Linked DNA regions of Stegostoma tigrinum. The protein of the gene in region 3 interacts with the protein of the main gene of each other region in a pairwise test. Links are inferred from orthologs where the notes say so. Each region holds a gene or a part of one and is shown on either strand. Other genes may lie near its edges.

Region 1 (7,512 bases), on a different chromosome or scaffold from region 3:
TAGTAATTATAAATCACAGCTTACTACCTTACAGTACAATAATTCCCACTTGCTGGCAGACCATGCATTATCCGAGTTATTGCTATCAGACCAGTCAATTTTGTACTTCTACCAACCAATGCCACTCGTGCATAGTCATTCTTAAAGCACCTAACTGAGCACAGCTAAACTCAAAGTTTACAGGACAGAAATAGACCACCTGCCCCATTATATCTTCTGGAAAACAAGTAACGTACCTTAATCACAAAGTGCAGTTGTCCCTAGAATGACAATTTAAATTTAACCCAGATATAAAGATTGATCTACACAGAAAGCTAACAGCCCAAATTATGCTTATTGCAAGTCAACAGTTCTACTTTGTCACCTAGTACTATTCATTTTCACTATGATTAGTAATCAAAGTTTAGCTCAGAATTTCATGATGAACTATTTATGCTCCTTAACCCTGAGAGTAAACAGCTTGCGCCATTATATATTTCTCTAATCTTAACCTTTTAAAAAATGCAATAAACCTTCACATTCATCAGCAGTGGTTGTTACTTGAACCAGCTACTAAACAGAATATGGAACAAAACAAAGATTCATGTATACTGAAATAATATGGCAGATGAATTCATCATGAAAGCAGTAAGCAATTGCACATTATCAATAAATATTGGAAATAGAAGGAAACCACACTTACGAGCTAAAATAATGATTTACTTGGAAAAGCTTGACACACCTGGTAGCATCTATGGCAATAAAGCAGTTAACATACAGTCTGGTGACTTTGATGAGTTTTTCCAGCAAGTTCTGTTTTTGTTTGAGATTGCCAGCATCCACATTTCTTTGTTTTATTTCATAACAATTTAGAGTTGGAGATGTACAGTATGGAAACAGACTCTTTGGTCCAACTTGTCTATGCCATCCAGATATTCTAAATTAATCTAGTCCCATTTCCCAGCATTTAGCCAATATCCCTCTAAACCCTTCCTATTCATATATTCATCCAGATGTCCTTTAAATGTTGTAACCGTACGAGCCTTCACCATTTCCTCTGGTAGTTCATTTCATACATGTACCACCCTCTGCGTGAAAAGTTGCCCCATGGGGCCCTTGTAAATATGTTTCCCTCATCTTAAAACTATCCTGGGGAAAAGACACTGACTAGTCACCTTATCCATTCCCCTAATGATTTTATGAAATTCTATAAGATACCCCTCACCCTCCGACGCTCCAGGGAAAATACCCTTGCCTATTCAGCCCGTCCTTATGGCTCAAACCCTCCAACCTTGGCAACATCCTTCTAAATTGTTTCTGAACCCTTTCAAGTTTAACATCTTTCCTACTGCAGGGAGACAAGAACTGAATGCAGTATTCCAAAGTTGCCTAACAAATGTCCTGTACAGCTGCAACATGACCTCCCAACTCCTATACTCAATGCATTGACTAATAAAGGCAAGAATACCAAATGTTTCCTTCACTACCCTATCTGAGACTCCACTTAAGGAACGTTTTCTTTGATTTACACACATTGGTGAAACAAATTTAAGAAGTCACAACAGCTTCATGTCTCAGAAATCCTGGTATAAAATCAGTAAGTTTGGCCTAGTTGAATTTTAATCAATCAATGTGTGTTAAATGTTAAATATATTTGAGCTGGACTGCTCAAACCTCTAAAATACAAGGACATAAATCAACCTTTTTATAGGGCAGTCAACTTGGACATTGTTTTGATATGGTTTGAAAAACCAAAAAATGCTCAGTTGCTGGTATCTTATTTAAGCAAACTTATGATTTTATGATGAATTATTTCTTATAATATTCTACAACTTTCAGGCTCCTGAATCAAACATTTAGTTTAGAATCCATGATCAGAGGCTTACCAAATGTCTTTTGTATGCCGAATTATAATCATATAATTACCCACAATAATATTATACAATTCTTCAGTGTGCACCATGATAGATCTATTCCATTAATCATCACACTATGAAGCACAAATCAATTATAATCCAACTCTAAAATTTGATCAATTTTATTGGACAGCACCAAAGCTTTGAACAATTGAGTGGTGACGGATCAAGGAGAAAGATGAGCCAGGGCAAGAGTGAATGATTTAACGCATTTGCAAGTTTGAACTTCATAACAAAGTCTTTAACTTGAGACTTCACTGAACACGGCACACTCATTTCACTATTGTTTAGTATTTCAGGCACGAGCGGGTGTTACGGTTTACTTCTTTGTTGAGTCAATAAGAAGAGTGGACGGCTAGAAATTTTTACAACCCTTACTGTATTTCGGGAGAATCGGGAGAAACAGACTGGTTCATTTGCAGAACTATGCTGAGGTGTGGGTGTCTGAATATGCTACCATTTTGCTTGTGGCGCTGAACATAGGAAAGTGAAACACACTTAGGAATTACCCCTCTTTTTGCTGGAAACAGAAACACATTGCAATGCATTAAAAGTGCATGAATCATGACTTCGGACAGAGGTTTGCATGAGTGCCTATGACGAAGACATGGGGCAGACCGAGGAGTGAATTGCGGCCCTTGGTCGGTGGGGCCGCGCTGGCAGTGATCGCATGCAGACCGAGGCGATATGTCAGCCCAATGGGGCCATTGTTTACGCAGGGCCGTGGTGCTGGGCTGGAGTGAGGGAGGCACCTACCTGTTGGTGCGACTCCTCAGCCCAGCCTTACTTAGGAGGCCCCAATAGTGGAGGGGGTTGGAGAATCACATGGAAGGTTTCCCCTCTCCCCTCCCCTTTACTTGCCCTGCACAGGGAGAGACTCAACCTTCCCGCGGCCTCCCAGGCGGCCGGAGAGCTCGGAGTCTAAAGCGGGGTCAGAGGCCTGAGGGGAGAGGATTGAAGATGACACCCCCTTCATTCGCACTCTCCCCACTCCCCAGATATATACCGTTAAATTACAAGCCCCCGCTGCTTACTGCGCGGCCAGTGTCGCAGCTCCGTCTGTCCGGTCTCGGCTTCGACACCTTCTCGTCACCGCACCCCCCTCCCTCCCAGAACAACCGCCGCCGTCCGCCCGCTCGAGCCGGGGGTTTGTTTTGTTCCCAACCTGCACCGCGCACGCCCCCCTCCCCTCAAAGAGCAACTGTCAATCAGAGGGGGCGTGGGGGCGGGGCCGCCCGACACTAGCTGTCGATCGGCGAAGCGAGGGGCGGGGTCACGCCACCAACTGTCAATCAGAGAGGGCCGCGGGGCCAGCGCGAAGCACAAATTTTCAGTGAAGGCCAAGGGGGCAGAGGCATCTTCTGTCACTCAAAGCTATCTGGGGCGGGGCTCAAGACCAACTGTCAATCAGAGGGCAATGGGGCAAAATTCAGCATCAACTGTCAATAACTATGGTCCAGGGGGCGGGGCTCAGCGCAAGCAGTCAGTGAGCGGGAGCAGGGCCAACACAGTCCAAATGACAATCAAAGAGGGACAGGGGCGGGGCTGAGTACGAACAGTTAACTCAGAGAGTGCCAGGAGGCGCAGCCAACATACATCAACTGTCAATCAGAGACGGAAAGAGGGCGGGAACACAGCACCAACTGCCAATTATAGATAGAGAGGGGTGGGCCAACCAGTCCAAAAAGACATTCAGAGGGTGAGGGGCGCGGCTAACCACCAAATATCAATCAAACCGGACCGGGGCGGAGCCACACTGTACCAACTGTCAATCAAGGTGTGATAGGGACGCGGCTCAGCACCAACTGTCAATCAGAGAGGACCCGGGATTTGTGCAGGTATTGGCACTTTTCTTACACTTACAATGCGCGGGAAATAATATTACGAGGGTCACCGGACCCGAAACGTTAACTCTGTTTTCTCCTCTACAGATGCTGCCAGACCTGCTGAGCTTTTCCAGCAACTTTGTTTTTGTTCCTAAAGAATATTACAAGCCGACTGCAGCCTAAAGGAGCAAAAAAGTCAGATGAAAGCTTAAATGTCACACATTGGATGCCACATCAATGTTACTTATGAATGATATTCAGTATCAGAACTCAAGGGGAGAAGGAGTCTATCGACCACACTGATTTAACTGGATCTTGAGACTTTGGGCAACTGAATGATGACATAAGACACGGGCCTTAGAAAACTTGCATTGAGAGCAAAGCTGTTGGCTGAGGAGAAACATATTCAAGAAAGCTATAAGCAAGTGAAGAAACTTTGAGGTTATCAATCATTAGTCAGTGCATATCAATGGGGAAATAGATCAGGTTTTGCAATATGTTGTGAGACAGACCAAATGAAAACAGCCAGTTGGGGAATAAAAGAAAAACAAATGGTAAGATTAAAGCCAGAGTAGAGGATATAAATAATAGCAAATGTTGTGGATGTTCTTGTACTCCATACTCCTAGAATACTGTATACTTTATTAACAGCTCTCCCTTCTTGTTGTGCCACCTCAAATTATTAATGCACATGTACAATCAGGTCGCTGCCCCAGGGCAAACTTTAAAATAACACCCTTTATTTTATCCTGGAAATTCATGTTCTTTTACCAAAATGCACCATCTCACACATCTTTACATCAAACTTCAACTTCGTCTGCCACTTACCTGTCCGCTCCACTATCTTTTCTATGTCCATCTGAAGTTCTGCATTGTTCTCCTCACATTTATAATGCTTCCAACTTTTGTGTCATCCACAAACATTGAAATTGTCTCCTGCATGCCAAAATATAAACCATTTATATTCTCTACGTTAGAAAACGTAAGAGACCCAATCCAAACTCTCAAGGACTCTGCTATAAAATCTACTCCAGCCTGAAAAATAATCATTGAAAATTACTATCTGTTTCCTATCGCTTAGCTAATGTTGTATCCACGTTGCTATTGACTCTTCTATAAGATATAACCTTTTACGCTTGTCTTCGGTGTGGCACTGAATCAAAAACCTTCTGGAAGTCCATTTATACCGCATCTACAGCATTACCCTCATGAACCCTCTCTGTCACCTCTTCAAAGTACTCTAACAAGTTAGGAGATGTGACATTTCCTTAACAAATTCTTCTGAACGAGCCAACAGTTTCCACATCTCGTCTAAAGACTAATGTCACACTGAATCCAAAGTTCTCTGCTAATGACAAAACGAAACTATTGAAGCTAAAAGTAAGGAGTGACAAAATCAGATGGAATGACAATAGGCCAAATGTCATTTTGATAAATCTGCCAAATCATTTCCAGAGCTGAGTATTGGAGAGTATGCAAAGTGCAACCATTCAACACGCTGAGCAAAAGTAACCCTGTGTAGCTACTTGGGACAACTGTAGAGCAGTTGAACATACACAATGAATGTGAATGACCAAATATATAATAGCAGCCACAGATCTTTATGTAAAATTAGAGAAGCTAAGACTTCACCAGAGGAAGCTGATCGGGAAGAAGTAACTTTAGCACTTGCATGGAGTACTGAATGACCATCAATCATGTAGGCCACTGTTCAATAGCCAGAGCAATGGATTGGCAACAACCGTTACCACAACAACAACATGCATGAGGGAAACATTGCCCTAGGATTGAGCCAGTACCTGAGGAACAGCCAATGACAACATTTATACATGCTGTGAGAAGACCATCACAAGTTAAGAACTATATTTGGAACGCATGTGCGGAGTTGACAAAAGTGACGAGTGCTAATGTCAGTCTGAAACTTGGATAAAGGCTCAAGATGGCTTCTTGGTGCAAGTTAGCACAACAAAAATGGCTTCTAGCTTGGGAACTGTAAATTCTGCGAGAGCTGCTCTGCTAGCCTGGGAACTGTAAACTCTGCTAGAGCTGCATAAATAATGCAGTGATGATAAGATAATGCAGTACTAACCATTCTAACTGACCTTCGGTTGCAAATGTTGTGGTGCTGTGTGGCGAGATAAAAAGTAACCTAAGCGTTGTGACATAAGTTGTTTACCAGTTAATATTATTGGATTAAGTAACTGTCAATGAAGCAATATCATGTATTGATTGGTACTCATTTGAATACACTATGCGATCACGCCATGTACCCTCCTTTAAGAAAAGTATAAAAATGTCTTTGCGTTACATTGTGTGTGCAGTTCCTCCGAGGAATACGGAAGTGCTCAACTTCTGTGTTTCCGGATGATCTGTACCCCGCCGTATGAAGAAATAAAGAGTAAAGTCTTAAACAGCCAGACCGATTGCGAGTGCTCATTGACCGATCGTGGAATCGACAGACCCCGCCAGGGGTCGAGATTTTCACTAACACACTGGCTTGTTAATGAAAATTATTTTCTTTGTGATCACATACATTTGGTAACTTACATAACTTGTAATACGAAGGATTGTAGGTGCATTTTCTTTTACGTAAAGAAGAATGTTTGGAGAAACACAGTTATACCCTTAGTGTACTGGCTTTCCTGTAAGAGTCGAGTGTCCGCTGCCTCTGCTATATGTGTCTTTTTGTGCAGTCTGTGGGAGCCATCAAACACACATCACTTGAAACACTTGTATGCTCCTAACTTTTTTTCATGTCTCCATCCCTGGGAAAGTGTCCTCTTATACCACAAGCTTCAGTCTTCCAGTCCTCTTACTGAAGAGTCATGCAATGAGTGAATATTACATTCTTACTTCCTTGCTCCATTAAAGAGTTCTGTTGCATCAAAAGGTTATGAAAGGAGACATTGACAATCTATGATCTTCAAAGCATAATATGGTAAAAAAAAAGAGCCGATTCAGCCTTGCACAAAGTAATGGTCAATGTCTATTATGAACAGGTTTACATGAACTTTCACAATATGCATTAGTACTTTGGAATGTAGCCCAGATCATAGGTTATGAGGTGTTACGTCTGCCACGTGAGTTAGATTAAGCAAAATGGTTTAAGTCTGCTTTCATTTGAATTTAATTAGCACAGTTGTTAGAATACAGACATAGGTCAGTAAAGAAGCAATACCCCAAAGGATGGTGCCTTCAAGCTTGGTATGGTAAGAAAGATGTAACCACCAACATGTGATCTATATTGTACTAAGCTGCTTTATCAAAGAATTACATCAAAGAGAGATTAGATTCACCCTAAAGGGAAAACAAAAGAACATATACTATTGTGTGGATCAACATTAGCTAGACTCTTGAACATATTTCATCCTAGCTTATGAAATGTTTATGGTGGAAATAGATTGCACTTTTTAAAACCAAAACTTGTTACACTACACTTTGTTAAAATGTACACATTTTTACTCATCTTGTTCAAAAATGCAAACAAACTCCAAATACATTCCTTGGAATTAAAGAGGGGAGAAAATCATCCCAAGACAATTCTTGTGCATTAATTTTAAAGAAAGGAAAAGTGAAAGTTTGGAAATAGGTCATCTGTCTGCCTTCCTGTCTCAAAATTGATCTGGAAAACGAAAAAGGATACGGAAGAAGAGGAAGAGAGCAAGTGAAATAATAATGTGTAGCATAATGGTCATTTTACTTTGGAAATAGTATTTTGCAATGTAAATAAAATGTAATTCTTAAGAGAATTTAAATGATAATAGATAGATAAGAGCATTGGGACAGCCAGA
Region 2 (7,496 bases), on a different chromosome or scaffold from region 3:
GCTCCAGGACATTGCTGCATGAGTTCCTCAGGTAGTGTCCTGGGACCAACAACCTTCAGCTGCTTTATCAATGACTTTCTCTCCATTATCGGGTCTGAAGTGAGGACGTTTGCCGATGATCGCACAATGTTCAGCACCATTTATGACTCCTCAAATACTGATGCAATCAGTGTTCAAATGCAACAAGATCTGGACAATACCCAGGCTTGGGCTGACAAGTGGCAAGTGACATTCACACCACACAAATGCCAGGCAGTGACCATCTGCAATAAGAGATAATCTAACCACCGCCCTTGACATTCAATGGTGTTACCATCATTGAATTCCCCACGATCAACTTTCTGGGAGTTATCATTGATTAGAAGCTCAACTAAGCTCACCACACAGAAGCACTGGCTACAAAAGCAGGTCTGAAGCAAGGAAAACGGTGGCATGTAGCTCACCTCCTGACTCCCCAAAGCCTGTCCATCTACAAGACAAGTTGGTAGCAGATGGAATATTCTCCACTTGCCTGAATGAGGGCAGTCCCAACAACACTCAAGAAGCTTGAAATCATCCAGGGCAGCACAGTAGTTAGCACTGCTGCCTCATGTCGCCAGGGAACCAGGTTCAATTCCATACTCGGGCGATTGTCTGTGTGGAGTTTGTATGTTCTCCTCGAGTCTGCGTGGATTTCCTCTGGGTGCTCTGGTTTCCTCTCACAGTCCAAAGATGTGCAAATTAGGTGGATTGGCCATGATAAATGTGCATAGTGTTCTGGGATGTGTAAGCTAGGTACAGTAGCCACAGGAAGTGCAGGGTTACAGGGATAGGGTGGTGGGGTAGGTCTGCGTGGGATGGTGTTTGGAGGGTAGATGTGGACTTGTTGGGCTAAACAGCCTGTTTCTACACTGTGGGATTCTATGATAAAGCAGCCTGCTTGATTGCCATGGTATCCATAAGTATCTGCTCCATCCACCACTAACGCTCAGTAGCAACTGTGTGTACTATCTACAAGATGCACTGCAGAAAATTCACCAAAGCTTCTCAGACAGCACCTGCCAAACTACGATCAATTCCATCCAGAAGGACAAGGGCAGCAGATACATGGGAACACCAGCACCTTCAAAGTCCCCTCCAAGCCACTCACCATACTAACTTGCAAATTTATCACTGTTTCTCCACTATTGCTCAGTCAAAATCCTGGAATTCTATCCCTAGTTGCTTTGGATTAAGTGTACTACGTCAGCATACAAAAACTCAAAAATGCAGTCAATGTACTCTCTAAAAATGATGCGATAATGCTCAGTACCATTGATAAACTTGCGATTCCATGATCAGTGGAGTTCAGTAGCAGCCCTGCAAATTACATCTCAATTTGAATTTGTAAATTTGGGTCACATTTGAGGGCTCTTGTGGTGCATTGGTAGCCTCCCTGTCTTTGAGCCAGGAGACCCAGGTTCACGTCCCACCTGTTCTAGAGGTGTGTAATAACATCTCTGAACAGGCTGATAAGAAATAATTTTTAAGTTTCCTTTTTCAGATTTTAATTTTGTTACAATGCCCTTAAAGGGTTGTCCCTTCTTTAGTTATTCATTTGTTTCATTGTTTCCAAAAGCATATACAGCATCATTTCTCCTTTATTTTCAATGCATTTTAGAGCTGATATCTACAATATTCCTTGGTGTGTTTTTTTTTCCTGTTTCAATTTGCATTGTTTGTTTCCAATTTATGCAATTCTGTGCTTACAAATGTACAAAAAAATCTACATGGATAAGCAGATAAAACCCATCATTTCAAAAAAATTTTGTACAGCATAAGGTCCTAAAAATTCAAAGAAAAACCTCTGCTCTATAAAAAGTAATGACCGGGAAACATGAATGAAAATGATCCAATCTCAAAAATTTCGATGACAATGACATTTTGTGCTTTGCATTTGTAACCAAAGAGGCTGATGAACTTCTCAGTAGAATTAGTTCCCCAGTTTCTACCACCAGTTAAAATCTCGTGTTGAGTTTGGAACTCAATGCTACCAAGCATTGTGTGTCATGTTCAAATTAATTGACTGCCAACTGCTATTGGATAACTGCATATTGTATATGTTCAAATCTTCAAATTTACCATATTACTCTGTAAATTATTTAAATTCTGATTACTATTTGCAACTTGTTCATTTATAACTCAAGCATATTCAATTTACTTTGGCTTGGTGTATTTGTTCATTTTAATTCTATTCAGTTACTTTTTTACACGGTCACTTACATATGCTTCCAAAATTATTTGCAAGTAAAATACTGAAATATAGATGAGGTAGAGTTGGGTAATCAAATTCTTTCAATGATTGACGTGAAATGAATGTCTGCGTCTCTGAGAGGCAATAAAATTAGAAAAATGCAGCGCAAATGGCCGGGCAATGGGAAAACGAAGGGTACACCGTGGGAGAATGGGAAAAGTCAGTAGCGAGATGGGAAATATTCCATCGTAAATACAGGGGAACTGCTGTCGACGGGGGAAACGGATGGTAAAGTGGGCGAGAAGCGTGAATGTATTCACAGAAGAATGAAGTGAAGCAGATGAAAGTAGTCAATGGATGGATGAAGGGCTGCAGCAACCAACAAGAGATGCTTCTTTTTTAAAAAAAACTATGCTAGTGATCTCTGGAACAACAAGGAGATGTTGTTACCCCACCAGGACATGCAGATACCTCTTTTCATCTGAAAAGATCTGTAAGAGATCCCAGGAAGAGCAGAGAATGAAAATAAAATAAAAAGTCAAAGCATTAGGCAATGATCACCCGGGGAAACAACAAAGTCTGACAAGGGGAACAGTAGGAAGCAGAGAGTGAGGAAAAGGAGTGACAGAGAACAGGAGAATGACGATTAAAGAACAAGCTGAGAAACACCGGCTGATTGTGGTCCACAGCCGGATTTGCTGCTTTACTACTTGATTTCCAACGCTCTACTACTACAAAACCACACGTTATGTTATCAATGTTTAATTATTTTTACCTCGCCAGTCGAGAGTCACACACCGCCGATTCCCGGGAAACAACTTCCTCCAAGATGGCGCTCGGCCGCTAGGTTGAGGCCGGAACCAACAGACGGAGACAAGGAGGAAAGCGGCGGGGGAACGCATATAGTGTGAGGTTGGGTCACGTGGAGCCTCGGTCGGTCGGTGGGGGCGGGAAACGCTATGACGTCAGGAGAGGACCAGAGACAGTGAGCTGGTGTCCGTGAGAGTGACAGTTGTCCGGAGCGATGGTCAGTGTGAGACCCTGACAACGACCGCTGTCCGGAGAGGCGGTCGGTGTGAGACCCTGCGAGTGACCGCTGCCCAGAGAGAGGGTCAGTGTGATACCCTGAGAGTGACCGCTGTCAAGACAGAAGGTCAGTGTGATACCCTGAGAGTGACCTCTGTCCAGAGCAAGGGTCAGTGTGAGACCCTGAGAGTGACCGCTGTCTGGAGAGAGGGTCAGCGTGTGACCCTAAGAGTGTCTGCTGTCTAGCGAGAAGGACAGCATTTGTCCCTGAGAGTGACCGCTGTCCATAGGGATGGTCAGTGTGAGGCCCTGACAGTGACTGCTTTCCGGAGAGAGGGTCAGCGTGAGATAGTGAGAGTGACCACTGTCCGGAGAGAGGGTCAGCGTGAGTCCCTGTGAGTGACCACTGTCCGGAGAGAGGATTAGTGTGTGACCCTGACATTGACCACGCTGTGGAGAGAGGATCAGCGTGTGAACCTGAGAATGACCGCTGTCCGGAGAGAGGGTCTGTTGGTGTTACTGAGAGTGACCTCTGTCCAGAGAGAGTCAAAGTGTGTCCCTGAGAGTGACTGCTGTCCAGACAGACGGCCACCATGTGTCCCTGAGAGTGACCATTGTCCAGAGAGAGGGTCAGTGTGAGATATTGAGACTGACTGCTGTCCAGAGAGAGGGTCAGCGTGAGATATTGAGACTGACCGCTGTCCAGAGAGAGGGTCAGCATCAGATATTGAGACTGACTGCTGTCCAGAGGGTCAGCATGGGTCCTTGTGAGTGACTACTGTCCGGAGAGAGGATTAGTGTGTGACCCTGACATTGACCACGCTCTGGAGAAAGGATCAGCGAGTGACCGTGAGAATGACCGTGGTCCGGAGAATGGGTCTGTTGGTGTTACTGAGAGTGACCACTGTTCAGAGAGATGGTCAGTGTGAGATACTGAGAGTGACCGCTGTCCAGAGAGAGGGTCAGTGTGGGTCCCTGGGTGACTGTTGTCCAGACACAGGGTCAGTGTGAGATACTGAGGATGACCGCTGTCCGGAGAGAGGGTCAGCGTGAGTCCCTGTGAGTGACCACTGTCCGGAGAGAGGATTAGTGTGTGACCGTGACATTGACCACGCTGTGGAGAGAGGATCAACCTGTGAACCTGAGAATGACCGCTGTACGGAGAGAGGGCTCTGTTGGTGTTACTGAGAGTGACCTCTGTCCAGAGAGAGGGTCAAAGTATGTCCCTGAGAGTGACTTCTGTCCAGACAGATGGCCACCATGTGTCCCTGAGAGTGGCCGTTGACCAGAGAGAGGGTCAGCATGAGATATTGAGACTGACTGCTGTCCAGAGAGAGGGTCAGCATGGGTCCTTGTGAATGACTACTGTCCGGAGAGAGGATTAGTGTGTGACCCTGACGTTGACCACGCTTTGGAGAGAGGATCAGCGTGTGACCATAAGAATGACCGCTGTCTGGAGAGAGGGTCAGTGTGAGACCCTGAGAATGACCGCTGTCCGGAGAGGGGGTCAGTGTGAGACACTGAGTGACCGCTGTCCAGAGCAAGGGTCAGTGGGAGACACAGTGACTGCTGTCCAGAGAGAATCAGCCTATGTCCCTGACAGTGACCGCTGCCCGGAGAGAGGGTCGGTGCGAATCCCTGAGAGTGACCGCTGTCCGGAACGAGGATCAGTGTGAGACCCAGCACGTGACCGCAGTCTGGAGAGAGAATCAGCCTGTGTCCGTGAGAGTGACCGCTGTCCGGAGCAAGCATCAGGGAGTGTCCCTGAGAGTGAATGCTGTCCGGAGAGAGGGTCAGCATATGTCCCTGAGAGGGACCACTGGCTGGAGACTCACAGGGACACACGTTGACCCTCTCGCCTGACAGCGGTCAGGAGGGTCAGTGTGAGACACAGTGACCACAGTCCAGTGAGAGGGTCAGCGGGTGACCCTCAGAGTGACCTCTGTCCGGAGAGAGGGTCAGTGTGAAACCCTGCGAGTGACCTCTGTCCGGAGAGAGGGTCAGTGTGAGACCCTGCGAGTGACCTCTGTCCGGAGAGAGGGTCAATGTGAGACCCTGAGTGTGACCGCTGTAAAGACAGGAGGTCAGTGTCATACCCTGAGTGTGACCGCTGTCCAGAGAGAGGGTCAGTATGATAGCCTGAGAGTGACTGCTGTCAAAACAGAAGGTCAGTGTGAGACACTGAGAATGACTGCCGTCCAGAGAGAGGACCAGCCTATGTTGCTGAGAGTGACTGCTATCCGGAGAGAGGGTCAGTGTGAGACCATGAGAGTGACCGCTGTCCAGAGCAAGGGTCAGTCTGAGACACAGAGTGACTGCTGTCCGGAGAGAGGATCAGCCTATGTCTCTGAGAGTGACCGCTGCCCAGAGAGAGGGTCAGTGTGAGACCCTGAGAGTGATCGCTGTCTGGAGAGAGAATCTGCCTCTGTCCGTGAGTGACCACTGTCCGGAAAGATGGTTATCATGAGATATTGAGAGTGACCACTATCTGGAGCGAGGATCAGGGAGTGTCCCTGAGAGTGACTGCTGTCCGGAGAGAGGATCAGCATGTGTCCCTGAGAGTGACCACTGTCTGGAGACTCTCAGGGACACACGGTGACCCTCTCTTCCGACAGCGGTCAGAGGGTCAGTATGAGACACAGAGTGACCACGGTCCAGTGAGAGGGTCAGCGGGTGACCCTCAGAGTGACCGCATTCCTAGGATAGGGTCAGTGTGTGTCCCTGAGTGTCACCAGACAGCGGTCACTCTCAGAGACAAACGCTGTCCCTGTCACTGCAAAGTTGCCAGAGGGTCAGTGTGAGACCCTGACAGTGACCGCTGTCCGGCGACAGGGTCAGTGTGAGACCCTGACAGTGACCGCTGTCTGGAGAGAAGATCAGCATGTGACCCTGACAGTAAGCGCTGTCTCGCGAGAAGGACAGCATTTGTCCCTGAGAGTGACTGGTGTCCGTAGGAAGGGTCACTGTGAGACCCTGACAGTGACTGCTTTCCGGAGAGACGGACAGCGTGAGATAGTGAGGGTGAACGCTGTCCGGAGACAGGGTCAGTGTGAGACACAGTGACTGCTGTCCAGAGAATGGATCAGCGTTTGTCCCTGAGAGTGACTGCTGTCCAGAGAGAGGGTCAAAGTGTGTCCCTGAGAGTGACCGCTGTCCAAGAGAGGGTCACTGTGGTACCTGACTGACCATTGTCCAGACAGAGGATCAGCGTGAGATACTGAGAATGACTGCTGTCCAGAGAGAGGGTCAGCATGAGTCCCTGTGAGTGACCACTGTCCAGAGAGAGGATTAGTGTGGGGCCTGACATTGACCACACTGCGGAGAGAGGATCAGTGTGTGAATGTGGGAATGACCACTGTCCGGAGAGAGGGTCTGTTGGTGTTACTGAGGGTGACCACTGTCCAGAGAGAGGGTCAGCATGTGTCCCTGAATGTCTCTGGACAGTGGTCACTCTCAGGGACAAACACTGTCCCTGTCTCCGGAAAGTGGCCAGAGAGTCAGTGCGAGAGACAGATAGCGACTGCTGTCCAGAGCGAGGGTCAGTGAGAGACACAGAGTGACTGCTGTCCGGAGAGTGGATCAGCGTGTGTCCCTGAGAGTGACCGCTGTCTGCAGCGATGGTCAGTGTGAGACCCTGACAGTGACCACTGTCTGGAGAGAGGGTTAGTGTGAGACCCTGAGAGTGACCTCTGCCCAGAGAGAGGGTCATTGTGAGACCCTGAGAGTGACCGCTGTCCGGAGAGAGGGTCAGTGTGAGACCCTGAGAGTGACCGCTATCCACAGAGAGGGTCAGTGTGAGATCCTGAGAGAGACTGCTGTCCAGAGGGAGGGTCAGCCTGTGTTACAGAGTGACCGGTGTCCAGACGGAGGTTTAGTGCGAGTCCCTGAGAGTGACCGCTGTCCAGAGAGAGGGCCAGTGTGAGACCATGAGAGTGACTGCTGTCCAGAGAGAGGATCAGTCTCTGTCCCTGAGAGTGATGCTGTCTGGAGAGAGGGTCAGTGTGAGAACCTGACAGTGACGCTGTCCAGAGAGATGGTTAGCATGAAATATTGAGAGTGACCGCTGTCCGGAGCGAGGATCAGCGTGTGTCCCTGAGAGTGACCACTATCCGGAGACTCAGGGACTCACGGTGACCCTGTCTCCCGACAGTGGTCAGAGGGTCAGTGTGGCACATTTTGAGTGACCACTGTCCAGTGAGAGGGTCAGCGGGTGACCCTCAGTGACCGCTGTCCCAAGGTAGGGTCGGTGTGTGTCCCT
Region 3 (7,420 bases):
CTATGGTTTGATGGGATATAGTGTCACAGGGCCATAGAGTCCTACAGCATGGAGAAAGGCCCTTCAGCCCAAACTGGTCCATGCCGACCAAAATATCCATCCACGCTAACCCCATTTCCATGCACTTGACCCATATCTTTCTCATCCTTTCCTTTCAATGTATTCATCCAAATGCCTTTTAAATGTTGTTAATGTACCTGCCTCAACCACTTCCACTGGCAGCTCATTCCATATGTGTACCACCCTCTGTGTAAAAAAGTTGCCCCTCAGGTTCCAAAGTATTCTTTCCCCTCTTACCTTCAACTGATGCCCTGTAATCCTCGATTCCCCAACCCTGGAAAAAAGACTGAGTGCATTCACCCTAAACCATGACTCTCGTGATCTTATACACTTTTATAAGATCACCCTTCAGACTCCTACGCTCTAAAGAAACAAATCCTAGCCTGTCCAACCTCTCCCAATAACTCAGTCCCTTGACTCCTGGTAACATCCTTGTAAATTTCTTCCGTACTCTTTCCAGTTTAATAACATCCTTCCTATAGCAAGGTGACCAAAACTGAACACCATACTCCAAGTGCAACTGCACCAAGATCCAGAGCAACTACATCATAACTTCCCAACTTTTGAAAGGGTTGATAAGTCCATTGCTTGTTCTGCAGACTCTGTCACAGATAGGAAAGGTGAGACAAATGGGCTATTTACTTTCACTCTCTGATGTCTTGACTTGACCTCTGTACATCCCCAGTGAAGTCTCAATGTGGTTTATGTCTTCCCAAATGTTCCCTCTCAGGCTGAGTGCAAACCAGGGTTTCCTAAGAGTCAACCAGGATGTTTTATCTTTTCAGGACATTGCAACAAACATTTCTGCTTTCCCCCAGGAGAGACACACCTGATGCAAACCATATTGAGCAGAGCAGTTATGTGGGATTGAAGTACTGTGGACTTTGGGAATCAGAAATAAAAACAGAAAGTGGCAGAGAAACACAGCAGGCCTGGCAGCATCTCTGAAGAGAGAAACATTTCAAATCCAGTGATTCTTCCTCAGAATTGAAGAGGGCTGGAAAATAATGCTTTTTATGCTGTTGACAAAGGTGGACGGGGGGTGAGGGGAACAGATCATGAGAATGCCTGGAGCAAAAGGCAAAGTGAATTCTAATGGCCACAAAGGAGAGATCTGGATTCAAAATAGATGTGAATAGTAGGAAATAGCTCAGCTGTACTGAGAGCAAACCCATGCCCCCCTCCCCATGCATTGGTAGAATTGTGACAGTGGAACTGTCCCCTCTTCTTTCTTACCGTTCGGGGTCCCAAGCACATCTTACAGGTGAGGCAGCAGTTTTCTTGTACTTTTTCTTTCAATCCAGCCTTCTGTACTCATTGCTCACCATGCAGTTTCCTTCACATTGTGAATCCAAATGCAGACTGTGTAACCACTTCGCATTTCTCCCTAAGTCTCCAACAGCACTACATATAAACATTCCACCATTGATCATTTTATGATTCTATCAGGGAAAAGGCAGAGGAATGGCAATAGGTGACTTGTTTTTGTTGTGATCTATCTTAGACATGATCGATTGAAAGGCCTCCTTCGGAAGTTCCACAAATCCGTGATTCTAAATCCTTTGTCGAGTATGCTAAGTCAAAGCAACAAGACAGACACAAGAACAAAGCAAAAACTCCATCACTCTGACAAGTGACTCACTTCCCACTCATTCAGTGCACTCTATAACTTACAAGGCTCAAGTTGGGATTAGATTGACATAGTGAACGGGATATCTGAAACATTAAACCATCCTGGACGGAATGTGATCCACTTGATCGGGAGATCTGCCACTGGATGAATCTCCCGGCAGGTTACGGTAACAGCAGCCACTTTCTAGCCGCATTTCGAATGTCATGTCCCAGTCTACAGTCTCGGCCACACTGAGAAGGATAAGAGTACCAGGATTGGAGGGACAGCGTCACCTGCAAGTTCTCCTCAATATCAAGATCATCCTGACCTGAATTTAAGCGCCACTTCTGGAACACTACGAGGTTCAAACCCTGCAGTTTCACATCAAATACCGACATTGGAGCTTTAGCAAGGCAAGGATTAAAAAGTTAAATAGAAATGCTTGTCATCACCTTCCCAAGCAACTAGGAAAGGCCAACTAAAAAAATGAGGTTTTGTCAATTTTCCTCCATTTTAATAACAACCACTTCAAAAACAGCCCTGATTGGTTTCTATGAAATAAATGACAGTTCCCACTTTGAATGCTGGCAAATAGGGTTTGGTCAGATTGGGATATCTGGCCAAAGTGGACAAGTCAGACCAAAGGATCTGTTTCTGTGCTGTTTGACTCTGGGTTCTGAACCTTTCTCCCTAAAGAAATACCTTTGGCCTGAAAACCCCCAAATGGAAAGAACTGAGCCAAGTAACTCCCTGTAGCAACGTAAAATGATCCCATATGATTGTCCCACCAGCTCATGGTGAAGCTAGATCATTGTCAACTGGAAGACTGTAGTATCCAGTGGAATTAAAGACAACAGTTTTCGGGCATTCCTTGCAGAATTCAGTCAATGAAGACAAGGAACTCAATCAATTAAACAGTCAATAGGAAATGAAATGTCGAAGAAGCGCTGCTGTATTAAAATCAAATGTAAATAAAAACTCTTATCCAACACCTGAACTTGATTCTATAACTTGCATTCTGGAGCAATGTAAGGTGACTTTGTAGGAAGACAAGTAGACAGACGTACTTACTTGTCAAACACAACCGCAGCATACGCTGGCTCAGCAAAGACCACATCCCCACTCAGAAGATCTTGCTTGGCCTTCAGCCCCCTGCCCTTGCCATCTGCATCGAAGATTTCTACTTTATCCATGTCACCGACCGTCATTGAGAGAATGAGCAAGAGCCCAGCACTACGAGCTTTAACCTTGGCCACTAATCTTCAGCTAATCTTGACACGTTCAGGCAGTCAAAAGTGAGCTCTATAAATGGTCTGACTCATCCAGCCTGTACCAAGTCAAAAAATGGTGAGGAGAGTTGAGGGGGGGGGGGGAGCGTCGGCTTTGTGGATGAAAATAGCAAGAACACCCACCTGGTGAAACACGATGCCTAGGTTAATTCAGACAAACTATTGTACATTCCTTTAACTCCTGACGATGATTCAGAATAGTTAGTCATAGCTCATTTCAAAGAAAAAGGAAAATTTTTGGTCAGGTATTACAACAATCCTGCAACATTACATGTGTAATGTCTCTATCCCCTTGAGAAATGAGCTGGGTGCAGCCAGTGGATTTATTTTTGGAAAACAGATGCCATTGTCCGTCAAAGTGTGACAGCTGAAGAGGAGTTGCCATTACTTGTGAGACTCGCTAAAAGATATCAGCGTGTTATCAGTCTCTTGAATTTCTGCACACTGAACAGTAGACTCTGGCACTGGCCTAAAGCATTAGTGAATGCAAAGGCACGAGAATGTTTCATGGAAGGCTCCAGAAACCTGACAAAGGTTAAGCGATTGAAAGGGGCATGTTAGAAGGGTAGTGCTGGTTACCCAATCCAACAATAAATTAAGCTTATCTGAACACTAAGCTAAATGAAATAAATATGGGCTGAATCTTACCTTTTCTTCAGGCAAAGTGTCATTTTTGTTGACTTGCACAGAGAGTTTCACTTTGCAAAGCCTAAAGAGTATTCTCATGTTACAGTTTCCAAACTCACCCCATTGACGATTTACCACATTCCAATAGTTTCCCTCTTGTCTGATACTGACCTCGTTCTCCCACTCGCTGTAACTGAAAGTGCTTATCACTGACCTTGTATTGGTACCACTTTTAAAAGGTCATTGTTCACCTGGTCAAGCATTTGGTGACATTCAGCCTGGCATGGGAGAGAAGGGAATTTGGTGCCTGCTTTGTGGGCAGGGGCTTGGAGCTCCACCGGAGAGAGTGATGCAAGGTTAGGACTACCCCTTCGCCAAGATTGACAGAGTAGGGCACATCACTAAAGTCTGCCAGCCTAAGGCACATATTTACCACCCAGGTCAATGCAATTGCAGGCATCTGGCTGGAAGGAAGACAGCACCGCTAGAAGAAGGTCAATGACCTCCCCACTCTGCCAGGAAGACTACCACCACCTTCACTCTGCTACCTTACTCTCACTCTATCTCTGCCACTATACCCTCTTCCTACCATACCAGTCTCAGTATTGTGTGAAGCATCTTTCCTCACTCATTCTCACCCACCCAATTCCCTCACACCATGGCCTCTGGGTTGCCTATTCACTCACTCAGGCCACTTTTTTTTCTTTATTCATTCATGGGATGACGGCAACACTGGCCAGTTAGCATTTATTGTCCATCCTTAATTGCCCAGAGGGCTGTTAAGAGTCAACTACATTGCTGTGGGTCTGGAGTTACATGTAGGCCAGACCAGGTAAGGATGGCAGTCTCCTTCCCTCAGGGACATTACTGAATGGGTTTTTCTGAAAGAAATATGATGAAATACACAAAGTGAGTTTAATGAATCTAAATTACATAGAACATACAACAGTACTGGCCCTTCAGCCCACGATGTTGTACCGACCTATTATTCTACTCTGAGAGCAAAACTGCCCTGCATCAGGGTTTTTCTGACAATCGACAATGGATTCACGATCATCATTAGACTCTTAATTCCAGATATTTATTGAATTCAATCTCCACCTGCCACGGCGGGATTCAAACCTGGCTCCCCAAGACATTATCTGGTTCCTTGGATTAACAGTCCAGTGATAGTACCACTAACCCATCATTTCTAGCATCAGCTTCTGACCACCTGCTCCAAAACTACCAGTTCTGCCTCCTACCTTAATCTCATTCAAACCCTCCCTTTCTCTCATTCCAGGAGAAAATAGTCCATGATGTGGGGAGAATGAACCAGATGGGTGCTGTGCTGCTTGACATTCAGCCCCTCAGCTACAAAGAGGTGAATGGCCATCCCAGTTGGCCAAATGACCATGTCCAAGCTCCTGAGGTGACATCAAGGGCTGTTCTTGACCAGCTGTAACAGCACCCCATGGCTGAAGAGGTTCTTACCTTGATAACAAAGTGTGGGGCTGGATGAACACAACAGGCCAAGCAGCATCTTAGGAGCACAAATGCTGATGTTTCGGGCTAGCCTCTGGAGCCTTCGAGTAAAGTCTATTTTCTTGCTGCGCGTGTGGTGTATTTTCTATGTACAGTGCTGACATATGATGCAGGTGTGAGATTGACTCAGTATAGTGCCACACAGTAACATGCCCAACCCCTGGTCTGACGAACTGCTGACCACCATAACAGAATGTCGGGCTTTGTGTCTGCACAAGAAGGCAAGTCAAGGTAGAAATATGATCTATCCCTTCATTCTGCCTGAAGGAGCATAGGGAAAAGAGGCATGGTAAACCTGAGGATGTTGTAAACATCTAAGCAAAGTGAGTGAATGCTGAGACAGCATGTGAGGATCCCCAAGATGCAAAACGTTCCAACCCCTTATCGATGCCTATTCCCCCACACCAAGTCTATCATGCGCAGCACTGCAATGATTGATGCATTCCAGAATGGAGCTTACTGCGAATGGGTCGGAGGTGTGGCATGAGATTGCAGAAAGACTGATATGGTCTTGGCTGCCAATGTCCGTGGGCATAGAATGTGTGCGGCCACTGTCCATGGAGACCGCAGTGAGACTTTGGTGCTTGGTTTCTGGAGGCTGAAGCAGTGGGCTGGGATTGCCAGGCACCCACTTAGAAACTTTTTCTAGAAACTTTTTCTTTGTTGAGTATTTCTGCAACTGGTTTCCATTTGGAGGGTGGTAGACAGAAGTCTGCAGATAAACAAGGTGTACTTACACATAAGTGAGGTTGAGGCTGAGCAATCATTCCTATTAATAGGCCTCTCACCTCTCACTGGCGGGAATGTTCTTTCCACATCTGGAACTCAGTTGGAAAATTTGAATTGTTGATTCCGAATGAAAGCCCCCATTCAACATCTCACTCAGTCCTTCCAAATTAGTCATCATCATTCATGGCATGGGAAGATCCCACCCAATTTTATAGTTGGAAGAAGGTTGATTCATGAAAGAGGCAAAGAGAGAATAGTCAAAACTTAATGCAAAGAAATATGATGAAATACACAAAGTGAGTTTAATGAATCTAAATTACATAGAATATACAACAGTACTGGCCCTTCAGCCCACGATGTTGTACCGACCTATTATTCTATTCTGAGAGCGAAACTACCCTGCATATCCTACATTTTACTAACATCCAGACATAATGGGAACTGCAGATGCTGGAGAATCTGAGACAACAAAGTGTGAAGCTGGATGAACACAGCAGGCCAAGCAGCATCTCAGGAGCACAAAAGCTGACCTTTCGAGCCTAGACCCCTCTCTGATGAAGGGTCTAGGCCCGAAACGTCAACTTTCGTGCTCCTAAGGTGCTACTTGGCCTGCTGTGTTCATCCAGCTTCACACTTTGTTGTCTCTTTTACTATCATCCATGTGCATATCCAAGAGTTGCTTTAATGACCCTAATGTATCTCACTCTACTACGACTACCGGCAGTGCATTCCACACTCCCACCACTCTCTGTGTAAAGAACCTACCTCTCATATCTCCCCTACGCCTTCCTCCAATCTCCTTAAAATAATGCCCCCTCATAATAGTCATTTCCATTCTCGGGAAATGTCTCTGGCTATCCACTTTATCTATGCCTCTCATCATCTTGTACAATTCACCTCTCATCCTTCTTCGCTCCAATGTAAAATGCCCTAGCTCCCTTAACCTTTCCTCATAAGGCTGCCCTCCAATCCAGGCAGCATCTTGGTAAATCTCCTCTGCACCCTCTCTAAAGCTTCCACATCTTTCCAATATTGAGGTGATCAGAACTGAACACAATATTCCAAGTGTGGTCTAACCAGGGTTTTATAGACCTGCAGCATAACCTCGCGGCTCTTAAACTCATTTCCCCTGTCGATGAAAGCCAACACACCATATGCTTTCTTTACAACACTATCAACATGGGTAGCAACTTTGAGGGATCTATGGATGTGGGCCCCGAGGTTCCTCTGTTCCTCCGCACTGCCGAGAATCCTGCCATTAACCCTGTATTCTGCATTCAAATTTGACCTTCCAAAACGAATCACTTCACACTTTTCTGAGTTGAAATCCATCTGTCACTTCTATGCCCAGCTCTGAATCCTATCAAAGTCCCTTTGCAACCTGCAACAACTCTCCACGCTGACCACAACTCCACCAACCTTCATGTCACGGAAAATTTACTAACCCACCCTTCTACTTCCTCATCCAAGTCATTTATAAAGATCACAAAAAGCAGACGTCACAGAACAGATCCCTGCAGAACATCACTGGTCACCAAGGCACAGGCTGAATACTTTCCATCTACTACCACCCTCTGCC

What was found.
Region 1: the proteins of histone-lysine N-methyltransferase Smyd1-like (region 3) and zbtb44 interact in binary tests that used the Homo sapiens proteins (3 or more experiments, as listed by UniProt). The link is inferred for Stegostoma tigrinum from reciprocal best matches to the Homo sapiens genes SMYD1 and ZBTB44.
Region 2: the proteins of histone-lysine N-methyltransferase Smyd1-like (region 3) and fam204a interact in binary tests that used the Homo sapiens proteins (3 or more experiments, as listed by UniProt). The link is inferred for Stegostoma tigrinum from reciprocal best matches to the Homo sapiens genes SMYD1 and FAM204A.

The regions. Positions count from the first base shown.
Region 1 is NC_081385.1:17,220,812-17,228,323, reverse strand, and holds the start of zbtb44 (zinc finger and BTB domain-containing protein 44), read right to left. Parts: upstream 3,073-7,512; 5' UTR 2,902-3,072; intron 1-2,901. UniProt on the Homo sapiens protein: May be involved in transcriptional regulation.
Region 2 is NC_081373.1:18,501,673-18,509,168, reverse strand, and holds the start of fam204a (protein FAM204A), read right to left. Parts: upstream 3,106-7,496; 5' UTR 2,988-3,105; intron 1-2,987.
Region 3 is NC_081354.1:176,261,411-176,268,830, forward strand, and holds the start of histone-lysine N-methyltransferase Smyd1-like, read right to left. Parts: upstream 3,008-7,420; 5' UTR 2,881-3,007; coding exon 2,744-2,880; intron 1-2,743. UniProt on the Homo sapiens protein: Methylates histone H3 at 'Lys-4' (H3K4me), seems able to perform both mono-, di-, and trimethylation. Acts as a transcriptional repressor. Essential for cardiomyocyte differentiation and cardiac morphogenesis.